2 linked regions of the Ovis aries genome follow. The protein of the gene in region 1 interacts with the protein of each later gene in a pairwise test. Links are inferred from orthologs where the notes say so. Each region holds a gene or a part of one and is shown in the gene's direction. Other genes may lie near its edges.

The links.
Region 2: the proteins of TACC3 (region 1) and KIZ interact in binary tests that used the Homo sapiens proteins (3 or more experiments, as listed by UniProt). The two-hybrid records come from large-scale screens. The link is inferred for Ovis aries from reciprocal best matches to the Homo sapiens genes TACC3 and KIZ.

What each region holds. Positions count from the first base shown.
Region 1 is NC_056059.1:117,511,135-117,514,936, reverse strand, and holds the end of TACC3 (transforming acidic coiled-coil-containing protein 3), read left to right. Parts: intron 1-152; coding exon 153-241; intron 242-335; coding exon 336-540; intron 541-706; coding exon 707-811; intron 812-1,194; coding exon 1,195-1,271; intron 1,272-1,580; coding exon 1,581-1,624; intron 1,625-2,005; coding exon 2,006-2,166; intron 2,167-2,701; coding exon 2,702-2,808; intron 2,809-2,931; coding exon 2,932-3,196; coding exon of another isoform or gene 3,197-3,240; 3' UTR 3,241-3,389; downstream 3,390-3,802. UniProt on the Homo sapiens protein: Plays a role in the microtubule-dependent coupling of the nucleus and the centrosome. Involved in the processes that regulate centrosome-mediated interkinetic nuclear migration (INM) of neural progenitors.
Region 2 is NC_056066.1:40,043,344-40,047,679, forward strand, and holds the start of KIZ (centrosomal protein kizuna), read left to right. Parts: upstream 1-1,408; 5' UTR 1,409-1,459; coding exon 1,460-1,566; exon of another isoform or gene 1,567-1,742; coding exon of another isoform or gene 1,743-1,807; intron 1,808-3,753; exon of another isoform or gene 3,754-4,336. UniProt on the Homo sapiens protein: Centrosomal protein required for establishing a robust mitotic centrosome architecture that can endure the forces that converge on the centrosomes during spindle formation. Required for stabilizing the expanded pericentriolar material around the centriole.

The sequences.
Region 1 (3,802 bases):
CCCTTCGCTGCAGCCACTCTTCCCAGCGCACTCCTGCCCCCAGCCCCCAGACCACTTGGCTCAGGCCCCAGAGGCATGTCCTGCGGGCTGGGCTCCCCTGAGGGATGGGGCAGGCACACTGGGGAGACTGCTGACCCTGCCCCCCCTCTTAGTTTAAAGAGTCAGCCCTGAGGAAGCAGTCACTGTACCTTAACTTCGACCCGCTCCTGCAGGACAGTCCCCGGAGGCTGGCACCCAGCAGGTACGCCCCACTGGTGGCAGGGGCAGGCAGGGGCGGGGGCTGGGCCCGCCTGGGGGCCCATTTGGTGAGCAGGCGTGCTCCTGTGTGCCCACAGCAGCGGCGGGCAGCCTGACGGGCCGCGGGGCCCACCTGTCCCGAGCACGGGCCTTCTGACCTCCGAGGAGTGCCCCGGGCTCATGCAGACGGCGGGCAGCTTCTCTCCCGGTCTCTGTGCTCACAGTGTGGACGCGCCTCCCTCTGGAAGCCCTCCGGAGGCCCAGCTGCTCGACCTGGACTTCCCAGGAGCCCCTGGCGTCCCTGTAAGTGCCTCCTCTCCTCTGCTTTAGAGACAGGTGTATACTAAGGACCCGGCCTCACGGGGTGGGTGGGGGCCGACGCACTGCCTCTGGCCGCGCTGTGCTGTGGGGAACCGGGGGGTGGAGGGCCACGCAGGGGAGCTCACGGCCCTGCCGGTCTCTCCCGCAGATGCCTGGCCCGCCTCCGTGTGGCCTCGGACCCGGGGCTCCACTGCTGCCGGTGGGGCCGATCGTGGACGTGCTGCAGTACAGCCAGAAGGACCTGGACTTGGCGGTGAGCATGCGGGCGGGGCGGGGGTGGGCAGCATCACAGGCTCCACTCGCTGCGCCAGAACCGGGTGGTCCGGCAGCTGGGCGTCCTGTTTCCGCCCCCACGTGTGTCATGGAACCCGTAGCATGAGGGTCTGCGCCGTCCCGGGAGAGCGCCCCCCAGCCTCCTCACTGGTGAGGGGACGAGGCCGGGTTGATGTCTAAGGTGGTGGAGGCCTGGGCTGGACCCTGCGGCGCCCAGCACCTCCCACCCGCCTCAGGCTGCCCCGCCCCCCCCCCGCCCCTCCCGTGCTGGGAAGCGTCCCCGCGCAGGACGTCCACCAAGTGGGGCGGGAGACGTCAGCGCGGGGAGCGGCCCTGGGCCAACGCGGGCGTGTGACCACGCAGGTGGAGGCCACGCAGAAGGAGAACGAGGTGCTGCGGGGCAAGTGCGCGGCGCTGCAGGAGAGGCTCCTGGAGATGGGGTGAGGGCGGCGGCGCGGGCGCGGGCGCGGGGCGCGGCGCGGGCGCGGCGCGGCGCGGGGCGCGGCGCGGGCGCGGGGCGCGGCGCGGGGCGCGGGGCGCGGGGCGCGGGGCGCGGCGCGGCGCCCCCCTCCACCCCTCCCCTCCACCCCTCCACCCCTCCACTCTCCTCCCACCCCTCCACTCTCCTCCCACCCCTCCACTCTCCTCCCACCCCTCCACTCTCCTCCCACCCCTCCACTCTCCTCCCACCCCTCCACTCTCCTCCCACCCCTCCACTCTCCTCCCACCCCTCCACTCTCCTCCCACAGGAAGATCATGGACAGCTTTGAGGGGACTGTCTACCAGGTGATGGGTGAGTGCCGCCCCCTGCCCCCTGCCCCCTGCCCCCTGCCCCCTGCCCCTGCCCCCTGCCCCCTGCATCAGGGGTGGGGGTGGCAACACAGCGGGCAGGTTGGGTCCCTTCCCTGACGCTGCAGTGTCCACCCTGCCCTGGGGGCTGTGCGTCCCCCGGCAACCTCCGTGGACATTGGGCACTAGCCGTGTCCAGGCTGGAAGCCCCGAGTGTGGGACAGGCCTGGGCTCACTGCCAGCTGCCTTGGTTTCTGGGCGGAGCTGGTGTTAAGGAGACAGCTGTTTTCTGGGCATTTGGAGCCCTAAGGGTCCGCCCTGGGAGGTCCCGAGAGAGGCAGACACCCTGCCGCCCGCCAATCCGAGGTGCTGGTCTCTCCTCCAGAGGAATCTCAGAAACAGAAGGAGCTCGCCAAGGCCGAAATGCAGAAGGTCCTGAAGGAGAAAGCGCAGCTGGCGGCCGACCTGCACTCTATGGAGAAGTCTTTCTCCGACCTCTTTAAGCGGTTTGAGAAGCAGAAGGAGGTGATCGAAGGCTACCGCACGGTGGGTGCTGGGCCAGCCTGGGGCCCGGGGAGGGGCGGGGGCCCTGCAGGAGGAGGGGCTGAGCATAGCCCCGGTGCGGAGCCTGGCAAGAAGCGAGAGGCAGGCCCGCAGGTGGGGCCCGGCTCAGCCCTGCCTCTGCCTGCACCCTGGGCTCTTGGCTTGTCACCTGCAACAGGACACGGTGCCCTCGAGGCGTCCGTGTGGGCCTTCGCGGAGACTGCGGGCCTGTGCTGGTTGCTGCGCTGTCCCCACCGCCACGCGGCAGGGCACCCAGCCCCCAGAGCCCGGGGCTCGGGGAACGAGACAGGCTGTTCCAGGGCCTGGTGCCTGACCCAGGTTCCCCCACAGTGCCTGGACAGAGCCCCCGTGGCAGGGCCCTGAGGGGCGGGCAGGGTCCCGGGTGGGGGTCAGGGAGGCCTGGGCTGTCTGCAGGGAAACAGGCGGGCTGCTCCCACGTGGCCTTTTCTACGGCTGCTCCACGAACCCCCAAAGAGCTGGGCCTCGGCTCAGGGCTCAGCGTCCATCTTCCTCCCAGAATGAAGAGTCTCTGAAGAAGTGTGTCGAGGATTACATAGAGAGGGTGGAGAAGGAGGCCCAGAAGTACCAGGCGCTGAAGGCCCAGGCGGAGGAGAAGCTCCAGCAGTGCGTGGGGAGGCGGTGCTCGGTGGGGTCAGGATGGGGGCGCGGGGCTCGGGGACGCGGGCGAGCAGGAGCCTAGGGGCGTCTGGCCCGCCTGCGGCTCAGCCAGGCCCTCTGCTGCTCCAGGGCAAGCGAGGAGATCGCCCAGGTGCGCAGCAAGGCCCAGACGGACGCTCTGGCGCTGCAGGCGGTCCTGAGGAAAGAGCAGATGCGTGTCCACTCCCTGGAGAAGGTGGTGGAGCAGAAGGTGGGTGCAGGGTCCCTAGGCCAGCAGGGGCGGGGGTGGGCAGCCCTCGCAGCTCGGGAAGGCTCGGGGGCGCCAGGCTCCAGGCACTGCGGGAAACCCAGGGGCGCAACTCTCCTCTTCAGACTAAGGAGAATGATGAGCTGACCAGGATCTGTGATGACCTCATCTCCAAGATGAAGAGAATCTGACCCGGCAGCCCTGACCTTGCTGTCTTCCCTCTGTGTGTGTGTCTGTCTGTCTAGGTTTTCCTTCTCTACTGACGTCGATTCTTATTTCAGTTTGTTTTTAAACTAGGTTGCTTTCGGAAAAAACTAAATAAAGTTTCTCTTAAATCTAAGCAATAGAGCTGTCCTGGCCTTCATTAAAGGGGCAGTTTCTGGCTGATCTGACCACAGCCGCTGTCCCTTCGATGCCTTCTCTCCGTCCCTGCCCGCACCTCGCAGCTGCCCGGCCAGCCACCAGCACCTCCTGGGTGTCGGCTGAGCGGGCCCCAGTCCCCCAGTCCCCCAGTCCCCCTGGCCAGCCACGTGGTGCTGGGGTGGACGCTGTCTGCATCAACCACAGGTCTCGCAGACCAGTGCCTTCGTGGAAGAAAGGCAGCCGCGGCAGGGGTCGGCTGTGTCCCAGTGAGGGCTGCCGGCCCCGCAGTGGGACGCTCACAGGGGTGGGGGGTGTCATGACCGGCAGTTCCCAGCTGCCCCCCTCCTGGCTGGAAGCCCCCAGTCTCCTGAGACCCAGGAAGACGCCGTG
Region 2 (4,336 bases), on another chromosome or scaffold:
GAAGACATGGAGTAGTCAACAAGTCCTAGTCAACAAGAGTTGTCCCTCGTAGTCAACAACAGTCAGAAATGCAGTACTTGGATGCAACCTCAAAAATGACAGAATGGTCTCAATTTATTTCCAAGGCAAACCATTCAACAACACAGTAATCCAAGTCTATGCCCCAACCACTGATGCCAAAGAAACTAAAGCTGACCACTTCTATGAAGCCCTATAACACCTTCCAGAACCAACACCAAAAAAAGATTTCCTTTTCATCACAGGGGATTGGAATGCAAAAGTAGGAAGTCAAGAGATATCTAGAATAACAGGCAAGTTTGGCTTTGGGGTGCAAAATGAAGCAGGCAAAGGCTTACAGGGTTTTGTCAAAAGAACATTCTGATCATATCAAACACCCTTTTCTGACAATACAAGAGATGACTCTACACATGGATATCACCCACCAGATGGTCAATATCAAAATTAGATTATGTTTGCAGCTGACTGTGGCTCAGAAAATGAGCTCTTTACTGCAAAATTCAGGCTTAAATTGAAAAAAGTAGGGAAAACCACTAGGCCATTCACTGAAAAAAGAGTGTTAGTTACTCAGTCCCATCTGACCCTTTGCTACCCCATGGACTATACAGCCTGCTAGGCTCCTATGTCCATGCGATTTCCCAGGTAATGAAAGTGGGAGGGGGTAGCCATTCCCTTCTCCGGGGGATTGTCCTTACCCAGGGGTCGAATCTGGATCCCTGCAAGTCTGGCGGATTCTTTACCCGCTGCGCCCTTAGGGATGCCAACACTCAGCAAATTCTGGGAAGAAGGGAGGGAAGGATTGTATGCACCTAGTCAAATTAAAGCAGTTTGATGCCCACCCCCGCAAAATACAACCATCATGGGATTACTCTAGCCCAGGCTCCATCCTCTCTACCTGTGGAGGGGCGAGGATCAGAGGTCATCTTCAGACCTGGCCTTCAGAGAAGGGGGCCCCGTCCGAAGGAGGGCCAGGGTCTCTCCCAAGAGAACTCCGAAAGGCTAGAGGAGAGGAAAGCCCCAGTCTCGGGGCGGGGGAGTGCAGTGAGGCCATGGACACCAAGTTACAAGCCCGCCTCTCCACCACCCGCGTGCAGACTCGGCCCGCCCTCTTCCAAGGCGCCCCGCCCCTCTTGGCCGTCTGTCCCGCCCCTCTTGGCCGTCAGCCGCGCCCCTGCAGGGCGTCCCGACCCCGAGGGGTGTGCCCCGCCCTCCACAGCTCCTCGCCCCAGCCCTCTTGGCCGTCTGCCCCGCCCCTGCACGGCGTCCCGCCCCCAAGGCTGTTTGCCCCGCCCCTCACGGCGCCGCTCCCCGCCCCTCCTGGCCGTCTGCCCCGCCCCTCCACGGAGCCGAGCCCCGCCTCCTGCGCGGCGTTTGGGCGCCGTGTCGGCTCGCGGTGCATGTCGGGGCCGTCGCCGGGGACAGCCAGGACCCCAACCGTCCCATGGCTGAGCGGAGCGGCCGCGGCGGCGGGACGCGCGGGGCCTCCGCGCTTCCGAGCCCCGACTACTACGAGCAGGTGGCCCACCTCCAGCAAGGGCTGCGGGACAGGTACGGCCTAGCTGGGGCGGGGGCGGGGAGTCGGCCGGCCCCGGGATCCATGGGAGCCCCGCCCCCGACCACGGTTCCCCTGGGCCGGAGTCCAGACCAGCCCTGTCCCCCGAACTCCCCAAGGACTGAGTTTACCGGAGACACTGCCCCCACTCCGTGGGAGGTCCCCCGCGGGAATGTCCCTGGATGCTCCCAGAAGTGAGAGCCGGAGTCTCCTGCCTGTCACTCTCAATCAAAGCGTGTGAGTTTCTCTGGTCCCCTTCCACACGCCCCCTTCCCAGCCCTTCAGGTTGTCATCCAGTCCTGACAGCTGCACCCCCTCGGTGATGACAGGCCCAGGAACGCAGGCGGGAGAGTATGTGTGTGTGTGTGTGTGTGTTTGTCAAACATGCGCCCTGTTTAAATGCACGAGACTTTTTACAGGGCCAAATTTCCAGCGGGAGATGTCCCGACTTTAAGATGGTTCGTGATACGTTGCTTAAGACATGAAAAGATGAGAATCACTGAAAACCGCTTGATCACTGTAAAGAAAGAAAATTACACAGCAATTTACTATAAATATCTACATAAAAGATTAGTTGTTGAAGCTATTATTTAGCTGCTAAGTTAATCGGAGTTGGAAATCTCATTAGTCGACAAGAAAGGAAATAGAATTTTGGATCTCTTGATAAATAGCACCTTTAATGAGTGTTTAAAAGTTACAGAGTCATTTTACTGAAGAGGGGTGCTGCGCACTGTGATGATTCTGAAATGACAATAGTTACATGTAAGGTAAAGGCAGAAGTTACTGGTTTTGAAAAGGAATTGTATTCATCCTATGCTAAATTTAATTCCTGTCATATTATTTATAGAGCATCTGCAACAGGCCTCCTTAATCTTCCTCACCTTTTAATTTATTATTATTTATTTTGTTTAACTCTCAATCCTTTTCTACATCCTGTTTTCTTTCTGACATACCACTGCCCACCTACCCAGCCACTCACCTCTCCTCCAACTTAAAAAAAAAAAAATCACTTCTTATAGTGCCTTCCCTGTGCCAAGTGTGAATCAACCAATTCCTGACTTATGCACATTCTTCAAAACTTCTAGGTAATGCATCAAGTGACTCGTATCCTGCCTACTCTGAGAATTCCAGGAGGACAGGAGCCATATAGAGCTGGACCTTCAGCTCATGTTAGAGTACCTGAAATGGCAGAGGGACTGGCTACATGTTTATTGAATGAGTAGAAATGTCAACCAGCTAGTGTCCAGGAGTTGTGAATGTTATGTAGAACTGAGTAGCCACTCATTTACCACTAAATAGTGACCATTTTCCGGTCAATCAGGAAAACTGGCATCATGATATTTCAAAAATGGTATTAAATGCACACACCTGATAATTAAGAGACAAAACATTGCTCTGTGCATCATACACTTAAAGGGCTCATTGTTAAGAGTGGCTTCCTTACCCCAGGCCTTGAGTTATTTGTATCTCTTAACCCATGTTCTAATTTTATTTTTATTTTATTTTAATTTTTTGGTCTTACCATGTGGTCCGGACCAGGGATCAAACCCACAACCCCTGCATTAGAAGTGCAGAGTCTTAACCATTGGACCACCAGGGAAGTCCCCCTTAACCCAGGTTCTAATTTTAAAATGTTACTAGTTTGAATGATACCATTAAAACAAAAATGAAGTTAATTGTGAGTTATCATTTTTGTTTCCTGTGCTCAGAACACCTGGCCGTTTATAGTCCTTATGGTATGATAACTGTGTAACGATTATTATTCACTTTATGTTTAATACTTAATGGTTGCACTGTTAAGCAAGGTGAGGCTGTTGAAATTATATAAGGAATCTGAGTCATGCTTTATAGCCTATTCACGGTTCTGCCTTTGGAGGTTTTTTTTCATTTTTGAGTCAGTACAAATCTGTTACTGTGGGTATTCATTTTTCATTTTAAAAGTCCCTAACTAACTCTAATGCATAGGTAATAAACGCAGAGGCAAATAACTTTGGAGGCAGAGAAAACTGCAGGAAAAATGTAGAAACCAAGGTTCTAGTCCATGAATAGTTATGTGACCTTGAGCTGGTCATTCAGCTTCTCTGACCTGTTCATCACCAGAGATAGGGGCTTTGAGGTAAAGTAAGGCCGGAGATTTTTTTTGTTTGTTTAGTAGAGCAGTGAGATTCTGTTTTGTCTAACAGGAGCAAAAGATATTAAGAAGAGGTGGCAACAATACACAGAAGAACTATACAAAAAAGATCTTCATGATCCAGATAATCACAATGGTGTGATCACCAACCTAGAGCCAGACATCCTGGAATGCAGAGTCAAGTGGGCCTTAGGGAGTATCACTACGAAAAGCGAGTAGAGGTGATGGAATTCCAGTTGAGCTATTTCAAATCCTAAAAGATAATGCTGTAGAAGTGCTGCACTCAATATGCCAGCAAATTTGGAAAACTCAGCAGTGGCCACAGGACTGGAAAAGGTCGGTTTTCATTCCAGTCCCAAAGAAAGGCAATACCAAAGAATGATCAAACTACCGCACAATTGCACTCATCTCACACTCTAGTGAAGTAATGCTCAAAATTCTCCAAGCCAGGTTTCAGCAGTACGTGAACTGTGAACTTCCATGTGTTCAAGCTGGATTTAGAAAAGGCAGAGGAACCAGAGATCAAATTGCCAACATCAGTTGGATCATCGAAAAAGCAAGAGTTCCAGAAAAACATCTGCTTTATTGACTATGCCAAAGCCTTTGACTGTGTGGATCACAACAAACTGTGGAAA